Canis lupus familiaris: one gene and its partners. The protein of the gene in region 3 purifies or fractionates together with the protein of the main gene of each other region. This does not show direct contact. Links are inferred from orthologs where the notes say so. Each region holds a gene or a part of one and is shown on either strand. Other genes may lie near its edges.

Region 1 (4,947 bases), on a different chromosome or scaffold from region 3:
CTCTCTCGCCGCAGCCCCCTCGCGGCCGGGGCCCCAGCCGAGGCCGAAGGGAGCATCCGAATCCCGGGCCGGAACCGGGACCGGGACCGGGACCGGGACCTTCGTGCCCCCGGCCCTGGGGGCCGGGCCGGGTGTGTGAGCGTCAGGAGCCCCGGCCATGGAGAGCTTCTCCGAAGCCGGCAGTCCGTGGAGCTAGAAGTCGGGAGCTCCCGCTAGGGCGTCGGCTCCTCCCGCCCCGGCGCTCCCACTGGTCTTAAATACACACCCCACTCCCCGCAAGGACGCGGCTCCCAGAGCCCGGAGCGCAGACCCCGTCCTTCCCCCTGCCTCGGGCGCAGTCGCGGCCTACTTGCCGCCGAGCTGCTGCGGCTTGAACGCGCTGCGGAGCCCAGGCCGCCGCCAAACCCCCTCCCCCAGGGCCCCTCCCCTCCGGAGCCGCCGTCGCGGGTGACCCCGGACTGCCCCTCGCAGGTGCCCCCGCCGCACACCTCTGGTCCCCAAGGGCAGCAACACCCTCCCGGCACCCACCCATGCGCGGGCGCCACTGATAACACGCACGGGGCATATGCTCTGAGTTTCTGGCAGGTTTTCCATCTGCAGCTCATCAGGCTCCACATCGTATTTATTTGCACATGTTAGACAGTCACGTGATTCTGTCACAGGGGACCTCCAACGACCTCCAGCAAGGTTTAAGGAACGCAAGATTTTTCTTGAGGATAATCAGAAACGTTATCAGCTGCTTCCATTAGAAGTTAGCAACTGAACCTAACTGCAGCTGCATATGCAGGCGGCCAAAATCCAGTTTAGCTAGCTGGACTACAGAAAACCGACCCACGCTGTTTGCAGACGCGGGGATAGAATGACAAACCCTAGGCGGCCAATGAATCAGAACTGGGAGCAGTACATCACCAGCACGAGCTCCCATTGGCTGGGGTGTCTTTTCCCTCTCTTGTCAGAAGCTTAACCTGTTCATGGGTTGGACCCATACCACGTTTGCTGGAAGAGAAGTTTAAAAGAAAAAGCCGTGTTTTAAAAAGATGCTCTTGTATAGACAAAGAAAAATAAAAAACCAAATAGTTAAGTGCAGGAGGCAAATACTTTAAAAAAAGAACACCTGAAAATATTAGTCAAATTGTGTTCTGGCCAATAAGAAGGTAAATTTGTGGGAGGCCTCTCCGTTTTATCTTAAGAACTCCCTGTAGCAATATATACCCTGTTACTTTGTATATCCTAAAAGCACTTTGTTGCCCCAACTCTTATATCAAAATCTATTTACTCTGTCACTCAGGGAACACTTAGCTGTTTTTGAAGCTGTGAAAGCCATCTCCAATTTTTTCTACATGACTTTTTTTGGATGATTCTTTTCCTTTCACATTTAGGCCTGAAACCTAACAACAAGCGAAAACGGTTTCACCAAAGAGTCACTGGCAGGCCAATTCTTCAAGGAACCCGAAAATCACTCTACCCAATGTTTATGGCATTACGATTTCTTAGAGGAAGACAGAGATGGATCTTTTCCAGGTATACAATGTGAAAATAAAATTCACTTATGCACTTGGTCCCGGTATCATCTGAGGACACATTTCCTAATTACTTTTCCGTACACTTGCCAAAAAGGGGGAAATTAGATCAAAGATCTTTGAAACTGTGCCGTATTGAAATCCTTAATACTTCAGACAAGTAACAGCATGATTAGCATGCTAGTGGACTCATTACAATTCTGAAATTGAAAAGCCCATGTGGCAACCATTATTTGAAGTGCCCCTGGAAAACAAATTTTCTTGTTCATAAAGCAGAGCCTGGGTAGCCAATGACAGTAGTGGACCATAGAGAACGTTAAAGGCCTTGCCTATCTTTCTGCTTCCTTCCTTTAGGCTTCCACATCTTTCTTCTCTCTGTTCTACACATGTAGGAGAATCTGGGTCAATTATAGCAGAAGAGGTAGAAAAATAGAAAACATGAGCATAAAGAGATTTTTAAGGAGGCTACAGAGTGTACCACAGATTGCTGATAAAGCTGTACCTTCCTACTATTTCTTATTTCTGGATACAGCTTGCAGGGACATTTTGGTATGAACTAGGAATCTCATGGGTTATAAGATAACCATGGAAAAGTTTGGAACAAAGATATCTTAATATTGTCTGAATAAATATGTTTGATATTATAATACCCCCTTCCTTATTATTATATTATATTGAACATTATGTTCCTGAAATACTATGCTATGGGCAAAACCCCACTATTTAGAAGGGAGGAAAGGACATTGGAAACAATAGGGTTAAAAGTTTTCTTTTTGTTTGAACTACAAGGTTTTGCGTGGGCCTCCTACAGGTATTTAGGGTGTTCTTAGTTTCTGTGAAACCTCAGTGAGAATATATTCCCATAATTGTATTTTAATAATTCTTACAGGTGTATTGTAAAACTATTCTACCCTGCTCTGCAAATCTGTTTACATTTCAGTTACCAAAGAGGAGGATTTTCTGAAAGATTGGCTTTCAAATTCTGAATTTAACTGTGTGCCATTAGCCCAGTAATCGAAAGGCATGGGGTGAGGATGGGGGCTGAGGTGAGGAATCAGAAGCTCTGGTTAGCAATACTCTCTCCTCTGTTCTTCCACAGTCACAACTTAAAGTGAAGGTTACTTTCTGCCTCTCTCTGTGTCTCTCATGAATAAATAAATAAAATAAAATCTTTTAAAAGGGCAGGGGCACCTGGGTGGCTCAGTGGTTGAGTGTCTGCCTTTGGCTTAAGCCAGTGATTCTGGGTCCTGGGATGAGTATTGCATCAGGCTCCCTGCAGGGAGCCTGCTTCTCCCTCTGCCTATATCTCTGCCTCTGTGTGTGTGTGTGTGTGTGTGATGAATAAATAAAATGTTAAAGAAAAAAAAAGTGAAGGTTACATTCCTTGTTCCCAGATTACTATTCTGAATCCATCCAGGAGAATAACTTATGAGACAGCCTGGCTTGGGCCCCTCAAAATTAAAGATTGAATATGTAAGTGACCCCCTGAGGGGAGTATGTGAGAATTCTCTTCACTTGAGCCATCCATCCTTTCACACTAAAGTCAGTCACTACTCAAGAGTCACCAAGCCAAGCAGAACAGAATTTCAACTCTTCCTTCCTCCTCCACCTTCACTACCTGTTGCACGTGTCTTTCTCACAAATATCCTCTTCGTATGTCCTCCTCTTCTCTCTTTTCTCCTTATCACTTTTCTCCCTTTCTTCTGTTCTTTCTTAATCCCCTTTGCCCTTTTTTTCCCCATTCTTCTCTTCTCACTTTTTCTTAGCTTAGTCCAAATTATAACCTCTGCTACCCACTTTCTCCTGAAGCAGTACATATTAGTGGATAGTGCCCCTAAACTAATTTTATGAGTGGGGGGTATGCCCCCCACCCTAGCCCTCTTTTCTCCATCCTCCCCCCTCCCCCTCCCCCCACCATATAGGGCCATGAAAACCTTAAGTCTTGAAAGCACTGTCACAGAATGAAAAGGATTAGAGAATCCAGTCCTATGTGACATCACTGAGGCAGCTCCATTAGGGTGAAGCAGATGGGAGCCAGCAGTCTCATGTTACCTCTGTGACTTCTCCCCTCCTGGGCCTTTTAAGGAGAAATGTGGGTGACCATGAACACCACAGGCCAAATCCTAGGGAGTCTTTACAGTAGGCTCTCACCTACAAGAGAACTGTATATGGGGGCATCTAGGTGGCTCAATCTGCCATTGGCTCAGGTCATGATCGCCTCTCTCTCTCTCTCTCTCTCTCTGTGTGTCTCTTATGAATAAATAAATATAATCTTAAAAAGAGAGAGAGAGAGAACTATAAATGGCCAGAGCCCCACAACATTGGTGCAGATCCTTTTGGACAAATTCATTTTTTCTACAGATAGTTATTATATGCCAGACTAGTAGTAGATAAGGACATGAAGGGGCAAAAGGATCTGATATTACAATCAGGGTAAAGACAAAGAAGCAACAAATAAGGAAATTAAAATTGGGATCAGTGCTATGAAGGCAATAGATTGGGGACATGACTTAAAATGGATGTTCAGAGAAGACCTTTGTAAGAAGATAGCATTTGAATTCAAGGGTGAGGAGGAGTCAACTTTGCAAAGAATCACGGAAGAGCTTTCTTGGCAGAGGGATCAGCATAGGCTAAGGGCCTGATGTGAGATAGGCTTTGGCAGAAAGGTTGTCTACAGACCAAGAAGTTCAGTAAGCTCAATGTATATGTCTGATAAAGTCAGTCAAGTTTAAATTTTCATCCTGTGATATTTGGGATACTTAATCCAATTTAAGATTAGGAAACCATCTTGAACAGAAGGGCATGATCCATGCCAAATAACTTCATGAATTGGCCCAAAAAGCAAAGGAGCTTGAAAAATCGAAATTAAAAATCAAAGGACCTTGATTCAATTATTGAAAATAAGATGCATTTTACAACCCCAGAGAGATATCCCCTCAGACAATCCAACAGCAGCTAGAAATAAGTAAAAAGAATCATTTTTCTCCCAACATAGATAGCTACTCTTAGTGGATGAAGACTAGCAAAAATTTGGATTTCTTAAGAACAATTTTTCTGGGTGTTTACTGTCTACCATGGGCATTAGAGAAAATGTCAAAATGAAACCATATCTTTGAAAGCTGCAACACATTTTGCATCCTTAATGATGGTGGCCTGGTTGAAAACCAGTGCTGAAATGATCATCATATTAAAGGCTTTTTTTCTGTATCTGCCTCTGCAGTTTTCGAAGCACTGTCACTTAGGCCCAACTAGTTTAATCCTCACAGCATCCTTTATGGGTAGGCAAGGTAAGAACTGTTCTAATCCTTTACAGAAGAGAAAACTGAGTGGGTAGCAGCCATACAGGGGCACCAAAAGTAATACTTGGTAGCCAGGTTTTTCCCTGTGTGCTACAGATGGTCCTAGCTTTTACACGCAGTGATAAAGG
Region 2 (4,452 bases), on a different chromosome or scaffold from region 3:
AACCATGCTTATTGGAAGGTTTCATGTGAGTGGTTCTTCTTTTTATCTTTTATGTTTTTTTTTTTTATTTCCAAAAATTTGGACCACAATTCTGTAGAAACATCCTTTAAAAATCAGAAAACTAACTAAATAAATAAATACTTTTACAAACAAGGTCTTGAAAACCAAGCCACCACACAATGGGTGCTGCAGAGCTCACAAAGCCACGCTTCCCCGACGCCCTGCCCTGGTACCTGGCCAGAACATCCCAGACATGAAGGAGGAGTCTCCTCCAAGTATAGACAAGAAACTGAAAGCCTTCTGAAAGGTAAAGCCAGCTGGAGATGCACATAGAGCTGTCTCAGTCTTTTTAGCAGAAATCATCAGCCAAAATGAAAAGAAAGCGCTGAGGGGGTCCAAGGTTCAGCCCGCAGGCAGGGGTGAGCTGTAGGTTAATGAGATGGTGTCCCCAGCAGGAGAGTATCACAGCAGGCCTGCACTGTTCTGAACACTGGCGGGCCATTAGCTCAGGGAGGTGAAAGCCTATCAAATACACAGAAACTAACTCCTGGGGACATGGGTCTAAGACCTGGAAACAAGAAGAGATTTTATTTTTTCTACACGTCCACCAACTCAAAGGTAACAGAGAAGTCACTGGAAGACTGTCTGGGGAAGCAGTAAATCTCTGGCAGAGCAGTACATTTGCAAACTTCAGTGGTTCCAGAAACTGCACACTAAGCTCAGGGCGAACTTTGCTCTGGTTCTGCCACTATTTTCCCCTGAGGTCGCCTCATTGGGAGGCTGCATCTAGTGCCGTTTCTTCTGCCCTTGTTTATTTATTAAGCACCAGTTCCTCCAAGGAGGCAAAGTCCAATAGTACAAGAGTGCAGAGGGCCAAGGCAGCCTACCTTCTCGTTTATATGAACTGCCACGCCCACAAAGCCCAGGACCTCACCAGGAGCCACCTGTCTCCCAGCAGATTCCAGCCAGCTCTTTTTTTTTTTTTTACCCTGGGTTTGGTGCATCAACAAAAAGCACCAAATAAATAAAGTTTCATTACTGGCATAGGAGGACATGTCTAAAACTAGAAGGTATTGATAAACCCAATTCTTTTCCCTTTGGGGCACTGGGTCAGATGCCTGACGCATGTGCCCACCTACTGAATTCTATATTCTACTGTAGGTTGGACCAAATAGTGAAAGAGATTTCTTTCCCCGGTTCATCTGCTCTATTGAAACTGTCATCTACCTGAATAAGTAACTCCAATTAATGGACATGGGGAAGAAATTATCCACAAATTCAAGCTGTTAATGAATATATTTCACAGCATCTTGGGCTCCTCTCCACTAAGTAGCTTTTCCTTATAACAGAATGAGGACTTATCCACATTTCATTCTTTATTTTCTTTTCCTTGAGTTTATCAAGGCCTTCTCAAAACTGCAAGTGTTCACGGAGCATTCACCTGCACATACATCAAATGGATCTGGTAGCTATGTCTGAAGAAACAATACAATCCACAGCATCAGTTGGGACAGCTGTTCACGTCTGCAAAACAAGCTTGTCATGGATGTAGTGGGTGGCAAAGAGACCATCCACAGGGCCCCATCTGGTCCATCAATGTGTTTTAGTTGGCTAGCACCTATGTTTTACAAATCTAGAAATATTGCATTTTTTTTAATCCAGTTTCTTGAGACATTAGAAGCTTTGGCAAAACTGGGCCCCTATTCCCAAATAGTAACAACTGCTAGACCTCTCCGACTTACCCCCATCCCACCATTGCCCCTGGCTTTCTTTCCCCAGCACACTTCCCTCATTTATTCGGCCCACCTAAACTCAGTGGGCAGTGAGTCATTTGAATAATGTCTGTTCTAAAGAATTAATCTTGGAACAATGACTCCCTTTTATGGTCCAGACACATATTATTTCTCACCTCAGTAATCTTCTCATGACATACACATGGTTCTTCCATCTTCCTCACACCCTTGCCCATCCCATCATCTCTGGCCCTCTGTGGGCCTCATTTCCCACCTCTGCATACCTCTTCTCGCACAAACAACAGACCCCTGCAAACAGTCACCAGCCAAGCACATAACCTCCCACAAGGTCTCTCACCGGGTCCAGCATGAAGCAGTTGACGCCATTCACCATAGCCAGGACCAACATGGTGGCACTGCCGTACAGGGCATAGCCAGCAGCTACCAGGTTCCTGCCTGGCTGCAAAGCATCCTTCTCAGAAGGCTCATCAGTTGAATTCTGGGACAAAGAAAGAAAACAAAACAACATGCTTTTGTTTGGGTTTCTCTGGGGTTTCTTTTTTTCCAGTTCAGTCATCAGCAAGATGCATTGTCAAGGTACTCTCCTAATGCAACAGGGCATCTTCCCAGAGGGGCCTTTCTCCACATATCAGTAATACCCTGATTACATTACCATGAAGCCTTCCCTTCATACCACAGATTTCCTGCATCTGGATCCTTCTTTCCAATCAGGGCCCTCCTCCAATTTTACTAATTTGATATTCCCTCATTTCTCCATTATCACTTTCAAAAAAGAGTGTGCCTTCTTGCCAGCTCCCACTAATTTAATCTTATTACAGGCATCAATGTCTTCCACCTGCCCTACTCCATCCTTATTTAGACATATTAAGACTGGGCTGCAGGACTGCTAGTCTGGTAAGGAAATCAATTTTATGAGTTCCTGCCAGTTGAGGCACCCGCCTCAGTGGTCACTCAGGCATCCAAGCAATTCTCAGAAATGAAACTTCGAATATCTCTCCAGAGTCAATACAGGGTGGGGCAGTTGCTTTCCATTTTTTTGACCACACTCACAGCAAAAAAAAATACGTTTACACCACACACCAGTACCCACACACATGCACATGCACACATAACTACACAAATTCAACAAAGTAATACTTAACACTTAGAATATAATATGCACTCTAATCTTTCCTATTTTGTTTCATTAAAAACATGGCCCAGTAGGTCCTCTGACCATAGTTTGATATTAAGGAAGGGGATGCCTTAAGGAGATGGCTTCTAATCAATGGTTGATAACTGATAAGAAGATGATGATCTTCTTTATTAACACTTGATTGGCTTATTTGGTCCTCAAAACAACCTCAAATCTTTCAGCTAGAATAGTCTCTACTTGAATTTAAACAGAAATGAAAATGGGCAATTTCTGCCAATTTCATTTATTCCTTCCTCACCCAGAGATTCCAATAGCTAAAAATAAGTATGGGCATCTGTATCACAATGCTGGAGATGGAGGCCATCCCAGCAAAAACATTCCTGGTAATTTTTCCCTGTAACTTTTGAAAGTGTGGTTCAAAGTGATGATGATTCTGCATCAGAATCACCTGGGAGGCTTATTAGACAAGCATATTCTGGGGCTGCAGCCTAGGCTTACTAAGCCAGACTTTCTAAGGGGAGGGTGTTCCTGAGAATCTGCATTTTATTGTGCACCACATGTGACTCTTGCACCAAACTTTATGTAAAAGGAAGAATCATAAAGGCATTTCTCCCCTTCTCCCCCTCATCCCCATGCCTTGTGTTTAATAAATGGTTTTCACATAGGTGGTTAGTTGGTTGGTTGGTTGGTTGGGTTAGGTCAAGTTATTTGATTTAGTCTGGTTTGTGTTCATAGAATAGTGCATTGCATCTAAACACAGAATAAACATACTATCAAAAATTTGAGTTGTTTTCCCAAATTCCAAATTTTGCCAATACCCAACCTTAAAAAAAGAACCAACTTCCTTCAAAGCCAGTGAGGTTTCCAACTATCCTCTATCATAACTACTTAACCCTGCCAGTGCAATGAGAAATCAGATCAGCTGTATGAAGACAGATGAGTTAACTGGGAGCCAATAAAAGATTGGAATAATAACTTCTCCACTAAGAAAAATCCCTCAGAGATCTACCTCACCAAGAATCATCCATGCCTGCCTGTGCCAAAGGTGCAAGAGTAAATGACCTTTCCCAAAATGTTGTCACCTAGTAATTGTATTCTCTGACTTCATAGAATAAGAAATGGGAACATTGTCTATGACCCACACATTCAAAGAGAAAATAATGCTGTGGAATCGTGGACTAGGAGGAATTCTTTCCTAGCCTGATCTTTCCAATGCATGAATTCCTTCCTTCAAACCCCAGCAGGAAAGGCCTTTGCTCAAGGGGATCCGTCACATTCTCATACAGGTGCTCATGTACTGACCAATGCACATAAAGCCCTTGGCAAAACCAGAAAGCCCCTAGACCCTGCCTGTCTCTACCTATTCCAGGCCACAACCTACTGTAGGTATTGGTTTGCTCTATTCCCTACCACCTCATAAGGGGTATAGAGGAAGACACCATGGATTCTGGAGACTTGGAGTGGTAGATGAGAAAATCAGACAGACGTGGGAACAAGCTGTCCCCACCAGATGGTCTGCTTGGAAGGGCTCATGGAGCATTCAGAGAGTCCCCCATAACTCAG
Region 3 (4,983 bases):
GCATCCAGAACACATATAACATTACTCATCATATCTACTGAGGCTCTTCATGGCTGGGACAGTTTCTCAGACTTGACCCCCTACTATTTGTGTGGGGGGGGGGGCATTTTTTTGAAGGTTTTGAGGAGTATTGGCCAGGTATTTTGTAGACTGTCCCTCCACTGGGATTTGTGTGATGTTTTAATCATGATTAGACTGGGCTATGGGTTTTGGAGAGGAAGACCATCCTATACAGGGTGCTTAGTGTCAACATGACTTATCACTATTGACAGTGACCTTGATCACCTGGCTGAGGTCCTGCTTGCCAGGCTTCACCACTATAAAGTGATTCTTTTTTTTTCTTTAAGATTTTATTTATTTATTCATGAGAGACACAGAGAGAGAGGCAGAGGGAGAAGCAGGCTCCCCGCCCAGAGCCCAATGTGGGACTCAATCCTGGCACACAACACTCAACTGCTGAGCCACCCAGGCATCCCTATAAAGTGATTCTTTAGCTCCCTTTGGAAGAAAGTCACTGTGCACAGCCCACGTTTAAGAAGTAGGAAACTAGGCCATCTTGGAGTATGTATAACAGTTATTTTGAATTCTTCTGAATGGGAGATTCGCCTGTGCTCCTCTGTTTATTTACCCATTCATTTATTTACATCAGTATGCACTCACGGGTGTTTATTTTATACTTTGGGTTATAAGCCAATACTACTTTATTTTGTTGCCATTTTTTTTTAAAACAACATTATTAAGTGCATGGCTGGACAAGCCTTAAATGCCTCCGCTGGGGGAGCCCATACCTCAAGCCCCAGGCACAAGTGCCTGCGCCCCAGGGTCCTGGAGGGAAACTGAATTATCTCAGACAAGGGACTGGGAGGGTGACGTCGACTTCCCGTTTCAAGTTTAGAAAAGCCCGAGTTCCCCACAGGGGTAAATAGAGTCGCTAAGGGGCAAAAACAAGCGCACATCAGCGGTTCATTTTCAACAGCTCAGGAACTTTGCTAACAAGGGCGGCGGGGGGCAGCCCCGGTGGCTCAGCGGTTTAGCGCCGCCTTCAGCCCGGGGTGTGATCCTGGAGACCCGGGACCTGGAGACCTGGAGACCTGCTTCTCCCTCTGCTTGTGTCTCTGACTCTTTCTCTCTCTCTGTGTCTCTATGAATAAATAAATAAAATATTAAAAAAAAAAAAAAACAAGGGCGGCGGGGAGGTCTGGAGCCCGGGGCGGCCTTGAGGGGAGATGAGGGGTGCCGGAGGGGTGCACTCCCCCCCACCCCGGCTCCCTCCCAGTGTGCCGCCCTCCCCTTGGACCGGGAGGCACGGTCGTCCAGGGGCCCCTGGGGGTCACACGGGGCCGGGGCCGCGCGCGCAGCCTGGGCTGGGGCCGGTGTCCCGGGCCCCGGGGGCGGGCCGAGCGGGGGACGGAAGGGGGCTGGACCCTTGGCCCGGGTCCCGGGGGCGGGGCCGCAGCGCGCGGGCCGGGGCCCTCCCTGGGCGGGAGCAGAGCAGGCGGCGCCCGGGCGGCCGCGGAGCTATGGACGGCAGCGGGCCCTTCGGCTGCCCCATCTGCCTGGAGCCGCTCCGGGAGCCGGTGACGCTGCCCTGCGGCCACAACTTCTGCCTGGCCTGCCTGGGCGCGCTCTGGCCGCACCGCGGCGCGGGTGGCACCGGCGGGCCCGGAGGCGCGGCCCGCTGCCCGCTGTGCCAGGAGCCCTTCCCCGACGGCCTGCAGCTCCGCAAGAACCACACGCTGTCCGAGCTGCTGCAGCTCCGCCAGGGCTCGGGCTCCGCGCCCGGGCCCGGCCCGGCCCCGGCCCCGGCCCCGGCCCCGGCCCCGGCCCCGGAGCCCACGCCGCCCAGCGCGCCGCCCAGCGCCCCGGAGCCCTCGGCTCCCTGCGCGCCCGAGCCCTGGCCCGGCGGCGAAGAGCCGGTGCGCTGCGACGCGTGCCCCGAGGGCGCCGCCCTGCCCGCCGCGCTGTCCTGCCTCTCCTGCCTCGCCTCCTTCTGCCCCGCGCACCTGGGCCCGCACGACCGCAGCCCCGCGCTGCGCGGACACCGCCTGGTGCCGCCGCTGCGCCGGCTGGAGGAGAGCCTGTGCCCGCGCCACCTGCGGCCGCTCGAGCGCTACTGCCGCGCCGAGCGCGTGTGCCTGTGCGAGGCCTGCGCCGCCCAGGAGCACCGGGGCCACGAACTCGTGCCGCTGGAGCAGGAGCGCGCGCTCCAGGAGGTGGGCGCAGGCAGCCGGGGCGGGGTGGGGGGTGCCAGGGCGGGCGAGGGCCGAGCGGGGGTGGGGGGAGCCATGGATCCAGCCCCCTGCCCTTCCCTGGTAGGGCCCTAATGCTCGCTAACCTGGCCCTTTGGCGTCCTTTCCAATACTGACAATGTCACCCATCCATCCACTCGCTGTGGGACGTTCCGCTCGAGTTGGGAATGGGGGTTGGAGGAGCCCAGAGGGAACGCAAGAAGGACTGGAAGGGCAAGCAGGGGCCTGAAGCCCGGTCCAGCGACAGGGAGCAGTCAGGACCGCGGGGGTCCGGGCCCGCGGGGGTCCCCGCCTGCTGATTCTGGCCTCGCCGCTGCCTTGAGCTGGGCAGGCTTCTTGGCGGTCCCAGGTCGCATTTGGCCTGGGCTGAGGCATCGGGTTTAGATGGGTGTGGCAGGCGACAGGAGTGTGGCAGAGGGTGGACCTAGCATACAGACCGCTCTTGTCCAGCTGTTCCGGGGCCGTGGAGGGAGCATGTGCTCTCAGGCCGTCAACCACCTCCACCCCCAGTTTCCTTTGGCCTCCAGCCCGGTCTTGGCGCCTCTGGCCTTGGGATTTTCCGTCTCTCCTGCCTGGAGCAGTGACTCATAAGACCCAGGGGATTTGCCCGGAATCCCCATTTTTCAGGCCTGGAATGGGGATACAGACTCTTGGGGGACAGTGATCCCCGAGACAGCTGAATGCCCTCTGTGCAGCACCTACCCCACTCTCTCTGCCTCGTCCTCACTGAAGGAAGTTCTCCAGCGAGTTCAGCAACATTGAGGAGCAGGGATGGCCCTGTGCTTGCCCATTGGTCAGAGAGGCGAGGCACAGAGCCCACAAACCTGCCCAGCCTGTGCTCTCCCCAGACATTTGGGAATGGCACCCTCCTGGGCTCCAAGCACCTCTGGCATATTATGGGATGTCATGGCCACTCCCAGTCCCACCTGTGCACACATACCACTCCCGGGTCATCCCTCTTCTCCCCCTTGGTGAAGCCTGGTAGCCCAGAGTAGGGCTGTGGCCACTGCAGGCCCCATGCTGATTAAGAGTATCACCCACAGGCGGACCAATCCAAAGTCCTGAGTGCCGTGGAGGATCGCATGGATGAGCTGGGCGCTGGCATTGCACTGTCCCGGCGCACGGTGGCCCTCATCAAGGTCGGACCCCACGCTGACCCCGTCCCCGTGCAGTCCTGCAACAGGCTCCTGGCAATGAGCTTGTAGCATGCTATGGTCCTCTCCAAAGAGGCCTGTGCGCAGGGCACTGTCTGGTCCTGCTGAGCATGAGCGGCTCCTCTGACCTGGCACATAGATCCAGGACAGCCAGGGCTGGTCCCTCTGTCCCCGCAAGAGGGCAGGGTGGGAAGGATGGGGCCAGAATCACACTGCTCTTGCCCTCATCCTTGTCCCTTGTGTCGTCCCGAGCAGAGCGCAGCCTTGGCAGAGCGGGAGAAGGTGAGCCGACTGTTCACCGAGGCTGCGGCCATCCTGCAGGGCTTCCAGACAGAGGTGCTGGGCTTCATCGAGGAGGGGGAGGCCACCATGCTGGGCCGCTCCCAGGGTGACCTGCGGCGCCAGGAGGAACAGCGCAGTAGGCTGAGCCGGGCCCGCCACAACCTCAGTCAGGTCCCCGAGGCCGACTCGGTCAGCTTCCTGCAGGTAAGTACAGCTCTCCTGGGCCAGAGAGGGCACGGGAGGGGGTCAGGCAAGGAGTGGGGAGGGCTTGCGGGGCTGCCTGGGCTCCGGGGCTGTGCCATCGTCCCACAGGGCTCTCCCCGCAGCCCAAGGAGCTGGAACCAGCAACGCCTCACTAGTCATTTCTCTGGCACAGGAGCTCCTGGCATTGAGGCTGGCCCTGGAGGAGGGGTGCGGCCCTGGGCCCGGCCCCCCGAGGGAGCTCAGCTTCACAAAATCCTCCCAAGCCGTGCGGGCGGTTAGAGATGTGCTGGCAGCGGCCTGTGCCAGCCAGTGGGAGCAGCTGCGGGGGTTGGGCGGTGATGAAGACGAGTTGCAGAAGTTGGGCACAGAAGGTGGGTGCCCCCCAAGTGACTCACCCTTCCCCAGTCTCCCCACACAGGGCCCCAGGCCTGGCACCCGTTCAGGAGTGGAAGATGGAAACTGTGTGCCTGGCACAGGGTGGGCCCCAACTCCTACTGGCGAGCGAGGCCACCGATCCGGCCCCTGCGGCCACAGCCCGAAGGATCGGGGGGTCAAGGGAGCCCCTCCTGCCCTGCCCTTGAGTTTCAGAGGGGCTGAGCGGGGAGGGGGTGGAGCAGGGGCAGAACCCAAGGACCAGGCTTGCATGTGAGGACGGAGTCCCATATTTGGGTGTGTGCCTGTGCCCGGGTATTGGCCCGGAGGATGCAGAAGGAGAGGGATTTTGGTCACAGGCTCAGGGGAGAAGCACCTTGCATCCCTGCCCAGCCACAGGCAGCTGGAGAGAACCTCTCCCCTGTCTCTTCTGCAGCAGATGCCGAGTCCCAAGACCCTGATAGCACCAACAACGTGGAGAGTGAGGCTCCCAGGGATTACTTCCTCAAGTGTAAGTGGACGCCTGGGCTCTCCCCTCTGCCCGCACCAGGCCCTCCGAAGGCTGCTGGGCTGGGCCCTACTGCACAAAGGCTTGGATTTCCTCCCTCCCCTCCCACCCCATTCTTTCTCGGGGGAACTGGGTCAGCTCACTGGGTGCTCTCCAGGGGGGCTGAGTCGTGCTGGTCACGAAGGCAGGCGGGGGGGGGGGCCTGTGTTGAGGG
Region 4 (5,059 bases), on a different chromosome or scaffold from region 3:
GTAACCAAAAGATTTTTACAATAATGAGGAACAGGTGCCTGTCACCTGACCTTTTAGGCCTAATTTGCAATCCACAACCTGTCACATGAAAAAATAATTGAAAATCTCCTTCAGATATTTCAGTCTTTGCTAATTTAATGTAGCCTTTCTTAACCATCACTCAGCATACCATAGCTCATTCAGTCACAGGTTCCTATAGCTGGCAACAGACTTCTCTGCAGAAATAAACCAATACTCACTCGTTTTGTTGTTGTTCTTGTTTAAGATGCTGGGAGACAAAAGAACTACTTTTGTAGATTATCAACCAAAGAATATATTAATTTATTACAACAACTAAACAAAAGGCATTCCTTGTGAATACTTTTACATACAAAGAACTATTATTTATTACATATTTCAGCTTGTGGGAAAATGAGGAATGCATTGATTCTGGAAATAACTATTCAGACTTTTGAAAGTTCTTTAGGTCTTCTTTCTCTATCCCTTTTTTTCCCTTTCTCTCCCTCTTGCTCTCCCCACCCCCACCCCCACACAGATTTTTAAGGCACTAGTTAGTACTTTAGGAGGGAAATCCTTATCTGTTCTTATTTCACCCATCATTTGTACTCATTATTCAGAAAGGAATACAAAATTGAACAGTGATTGTTTCTCTTGTATAATCTTGTTACATGTAGCCATACTTAAATTTAACAATGCTTTGTATTTTATGGCTACTGTTTACATATTATGTATTACATATGACTGAACAGCTCTACATTTAAAATATTGTTTCCATTAGAAAAACTATGAAGTAATAAGTGTCAAATGGAGATGAAAAATAAACATGCCTGTTACATTTATAAAATGCAGAGTCACTTAAAATGTGCACAAATAGGATACGTATTTTGCTACTGTTACGTTTTACATAGTATACACTAGGTCTAAAGTGTATTTAACAATGTGCCTAACCAAGTTAATTAAAGTACTTATGTCTGGTGACTGTGTTAAACACTTGGAGAGGTAGTGAAAGATACAGCCAGTTACTTCTGCTAACTAAAGTTGAAATTATGCACTTATTATAACCTTTTCTAACAATGTGAGAAAAACAGAGTAAATATATTAAATTTGTTTCACAACAGATGCTTAGGTTGTTAATATTTAAGATGCCTATTCATGCTATTCCTGTCTGCACATTTGTCAAAAATGTAAGCTTGAATGCTAATGTTTGCCAGCAGACTGGAGCAGCCAGTATATGAATGTACTACTGTTCCACTAAAATAATATGCAATAGAAATAAAGGACTGCTGCTAAATCATAGCATTAGTACCCCACAGCCGATTAAAGGTTTTTAGAGCAAACACCTCAAACCTTGGCTTTTTCCAGCCTTAAAGTACGGTTGTTGTTGTTGTTGTTGTTTGCTTTTGCAGCTACGTTTTACTATAGAATAAATCTTACATTCCTGACACCTCAGAAAAATCCACTTTAGATAGGGTGTAAATTTCAATAAAGTTTCAATCGCACGCGTTACTCCCTTAGTAAGTCGATTTTAGGGACTGCTGAGGACAAAACCTGACACCTACCAGTCGCCTTTCACTTGTTTCTTACCCCTCCTCTGTTCCTCTTGGAAAAGTCAGGTCTCCTGGCCTCCAAGGATGCAAGCAGGGAACCCCAGCCAGTCCGGGTAGAACGGTTCTCTCCTGAGAATAGGACGTCTTTTTTTTTTTTTTTTTTTTTAATTTTCCCTGTCTCTGATACAACCACGTAGAGTCCAAGTCTTACAACAATTGCCTGGAAATCTGGAATGCCGCGGAGAAAGTTCGCCGAGGAAGGGCGCAGAGGTCAAAGCTGCCAACCAGGGCACTTTTACGAGGCGATCCTGTGGTTGACACTAGTACGTGAGACTTGCAACGCCCCAGAGGAGGTCGGGGCCAAGATCTCCAGCAAAAGCCCTGAGATCCTCTCCTCCTTCTGGGGGGTCATCCCAAGAGTCACGCCCGGTGCATGTCCCCGGTGGGCGCGTGTGGCTCCCCGCACCTGCCACCTGCCACCTGCCTGCTTCGTCCCCCTTACGGTGGTTGCCCAAACCCACGCGCCGCCGCCCCGGGAGCCTCCGCAGGGAAGCGCCCGGAGAAGGCCGCCACGCTCGGGTCGGGACCGCAGGAGGGAGACACGGTGCGGACCCTGAGGCCGCACCTGCGATGTGTCAGCCCCGCTCAGAGGGCAGCGCCTCTTCCTGCCTTCCAGCCCTCCTTCAAACCTGCAGTCGCTCCGGGAGCCCCTGCGGGCCCACCTCACTACCTCCGGCGGGGACTCCAAGGCGGAGTGCCGCGGCTTTCAAAATCCCGGCTCCAACTTGAGCGCCCGGCGCCGAGCGTCCCCGGGATGGAGAAGTTGCCACCAACTTCCTAGGCCCCTCTCGGCCGCCGCTCCCAGGCAGCCGCGCGGGCGGGGGGCGGAGGAGGAAGGAGAAGGACCGGGGAAGGATGCTGAGCTCACTTGCGATCGGCGGGGACCGTCCCCGCTCCCCCAGCCTACTCTGCCGGGCACCTCTCTGCCAACCCAGCTCCGGGGCGCACGGAGAGGCTTCCTCTCCCTTTTCCCGTCGGCCTCCTTCGCTCTTTGCGGCTCCCCCTTTTCTCTCCGAAGAGCGGTCATACGGAGGACCTGAGGGAGTTTGTCCAGCCTGGGTCTGTCGGGCAGGTGTGTCAGGGTGCCCACACCCTGAGAGGGAATGAATGGCATCTCCGAGCCCCCCGTCCCGGGTGCTCTCCCACGCTCTCCCCGCCCGCCCCTCCGGGGTCCGGCCGCGCACGCGAGAAGGGAAGGGGCTCGGGGGACCCCGGCCGCCAGACGTCGGCGGGAGGGCACCGCGCAGCCCGGCAAGGGGCGCCGGGGGTGGGCGCCACCGAGAAGTTTGGATCGATTCCGAAAACAGAGAGACAGAGATTCGAGAGCAAGAATACGGGGCGCGGGGGGGGGGGGGGTGGAAAGGGAGGCAAAGGAGCAGCACTCACTCAGGCATGGGCGCTGGGGGCGGCGGTGGCTGTCGAGTGCGGGCCCGCGACCCGGAGCAGCTCCCCGGGCGGGCGCGCCGGCGTCGGACTTCCGAGGCGGCGGCTTCTGCCTCCTGTGCCGCCGCCGCCGGAGCTGCGGCTGCCGCGGAAGTTAATTGCAACTTGACTTCAAGTTGTCTTCTTTCCCCATCCGAAGTGGGCGTTTAAAGGGGAGAGCGAGACGAGGAGCGAGCTGGCGAGCGCGCGGGGCCGAGGGAAGGAAGGGGGAGGGAGGGGATGTTAACGGGGGGGGGGGGGGGGGGGGGGGGGGGGGGGGGGGGGGGGGGAAGGGGCCGGCGGGAGCTGCTCTCGGCTCGGCGGCCGCCGCGCCCGCAGTCTGGAGGCGCACCGGAGCGGCCGGGGCGCCCCCCGCGGGAGCCCGCAGCCCCCCGGGGCGCGCATCCAGCCGCGGCTGCTCCGGCCCCGCGCGCCGCGCCCCGGGGCTCGGCGGACCCCGCGCCGCCGCCGCTCCCGAGCTGGTGCGAGCGGGCTGGCCGGCGGGGCGGCGAGGGCCCGGCCCGCCTCCCCAGCGCCCGCCCCGGCTTCTCCCCCTGGCGGCGGAGGAGCCTCGGCGGCCGCCGGCTGCACGGAGCGCTGGAGCCCGAGCCGAGCCGAGCCCGAGCCCGAGCCGCCGCCGCCGCCGCCGCCGCCGCCGCCGCCGCCAACGCCGCGCTCGGCTCCCAGGCTCCCTCCCCGCGCGCCGGCCGGGGTGTGGGGGGCGGCGGGCCGGAGGGACGAGGGCGGGCGAGAGGCGCGCGCCGGGATTGGCGCCGAAGACCGGACCCTCAGCCGCTGGGGGTAAGTGTGGGCGCCCGGGAGTGCGCGGAGGGGTGCGCGGCGCGGTTCTCGACGCCCGCCGACCCTGCCCCCTCACCTCTCCCGGGCCCCCACCACGCGCACCCCTCCTCTTGCCGCCTGCGGCTTCCTCTTGTTGTTCGTTGTTTGGCTGAGCTTTTTTTTGGGGGGGGGGGGGAGAAGCGGGCGATTGCAGTGTGTGTGCCAGGGGAGGAGGAAGTCAGGTGAGCGGGCCCTACGCACCCCCCACCCCCAAACCCAGCCCGCGTGGGGTGTATCGCTCCCCACTAGGGGCATGTGGGCCAGTTTTTTTTTTTTTCTCTCGTTCATGTTCGGTGGAGACGATCTCTCCTTCGGGGGCCTCCTCCCCTCTCAGTCTGCACGGTCCATCGCCCTCCACCCTGGCCCCGCCCCTCTCTGCACCCCATCCAGGAGTGCTGCACCCCAACTGAGGAGCACGTGGTGGAAGGAGAAGGCGGGGTTGCTCTTGCAGACCCCAACCCCGCGCCCCTGCCCGGTTGTTTAAGCAGTAGCCTTCTGTCGGCCGCTTCTTTAAAATCCGCAGGGAAAAGACCCCTAAACTGAGGTCCAGTTTCTCCAAGAAGCTGGAAGCAAAGGAGGAGGCAAGTGATGAGACTGTAGTGACAGGGGGGCTCGCGGAGAAGAGGGGCAAGGGAGCCTTTCCAGAAGGTGAATGAAACTTCAAAAACCTCTACAACGGCAGAGTGACTTGGAGGTTCAGGACCCCAGGCTGAGGAGAAAAGGAGAACTCCATCAACTTTGCCCCTCTCATCCAGCCATCCTCCACCCCCCCCACCCCCACCCCCACCCCCACCCCCACCCCCCACCACCCCCACCCAGCTCCTAGGAAGCAAACAGGTCTTTTGTTTTGTGTTCTGTCGTCTTTGGGAAATTTGCATTGAGTATGACAACAGAAAATTACTACTGTTTACTCGAAGTTAAGGGGATTACAGAAAGGAAACATAGTCTACTTTTTTTTTCCCCCCTTCGGTGTGTGTGTAGTTGTTAGGTTCATAGCTTGAACTGCAAAACGTCAGTTTGTAACAATAAGGACTGTAGAGCCTCCTCGGTGTATTTTTAGAAGCTGCACTTTCTTGAGTTCCTTTCACACAAGGCTTGCTCTCTCATTAAGTCCCCATACATAATTGTATTTAGAGAGAAGGAAACTATGGAAGCAGGAGGGAGATTGCTAAGATCTCCATCCCGCCAGC

What was found.
Region 1: the proteins of TRIM47 (region 3) and PPM1A purify together in Homo sapiens (affinity purification with western blotting; 3 studies listed by BioGRID, with this or other methods). This does not show direct contact. The link is inferred for Canis lupus familiaris from reciprocal best matches to the Homo sapiens genes TRIM47 and PPM1A.
Region 2: the proteins of TRIM47 (region 3) and FBP1 purify together in Homo sapiens (affinity purification with western blotting; 3 studies listed by BioGRID). This does not show direct contact. The link is inferred for Canis lupus familiaris from reciprocal best matches to the Homo sapiens genes TRIM47 and FBP1.
Region 4: the proteins of TRIM47 (region 3) and SATB1 purify together in Homo sapiens (affinity purification with mass spectrometry; 4 studies listed by BioGRID and IntAct, with this or other methods). This does not show direct contact. The link is inferred for Canis lupus familiaris from reciprocal best matches to the Homo sapiens genes TRIM47 and SATB1.

Annotation. Positions count from the first base shown.
Region 1 is NC_049229.1:35,616,703-35,621,649, reverse strand, and holds the start of PPM1A (protein phosphatase 1A), read right to left. Parts: upstream 3,409-4,947; 5' UTR 3,338-3,408; coding exon 3,139-3,337; intron 2,693-3,138; exon of another isoform or gene 1,380-2,692; intron 1-1,379. UniProt on the Homo sapiens protein: Enzyme with a broad specificity. Negatively regulates TGF-beta signaling through dephosphorylating SMAD2 and SMAD3, resulting in their dissociation from SMAD4, nuclear export of the SMADs and termination of the TGF-beta-mediated signaling.
Region 2 is NC_049222.1:72,702,974-72,707,425, reverse strand, and holds part of FBP1 (fructose-1,6-bisphosphatase 1), read right to left. Parts: intron 2,233-4,452; coding exon 2,092-2,232; intron 1-2,091. UniProt on the Homo sapiens protein: Catalyzes the hydrolysis of fructose 1,6-bisphosphate to fructose 6-phosphate in the presence of divalent cations, acting as a rate-limiting enzyme in gluconeogenesis. Plays a role in regulating glucose sensing and insulin secretion of pancreatic beta-cells.
Region 3 is NC_049230.1:5,605,332-5,610,314, forward strand, and holds the start of TRIM47 (E3 ubiquitin-protein ligase TRIM47), read left to right. Parts: upstream 1-1,507; 5' UTR 1,508-1,520; coding exon 1,521-2,213; intron 2,214-3,292; coding exon 3,293-3,388; intron 3,389-3,658; coding exon 3,659-3,889; intron 3,890-4,061; coding exon 4,062-4,260; intron 4,261-4,697; coding exon 4,698-4,772; intron 4,773-4,983. UniProt on the Homo sapiens protein: E3 ubiquitin-protein ligase that mediates the ubiquitination and proteasomal degradation of CYLD.
Region 4 is NC_049244.1:25,105,913-25,110,971, reverse strand, and holds the start of SATB1 (DNA-binding protein SATB1), read right to left. Parts: upstream 3,153-5,059; 5' UTR 2,994-3,152; intron 2,713-2,993; exon of another isoform or gene 1,585-2,712; intron 1-1,584. UniProt on the Homo sapiens protein: Crucial silencing factor contributing to the initiation of X inactivation mediated by Xist RNA that occurs during embryogenesis and in lymphoma.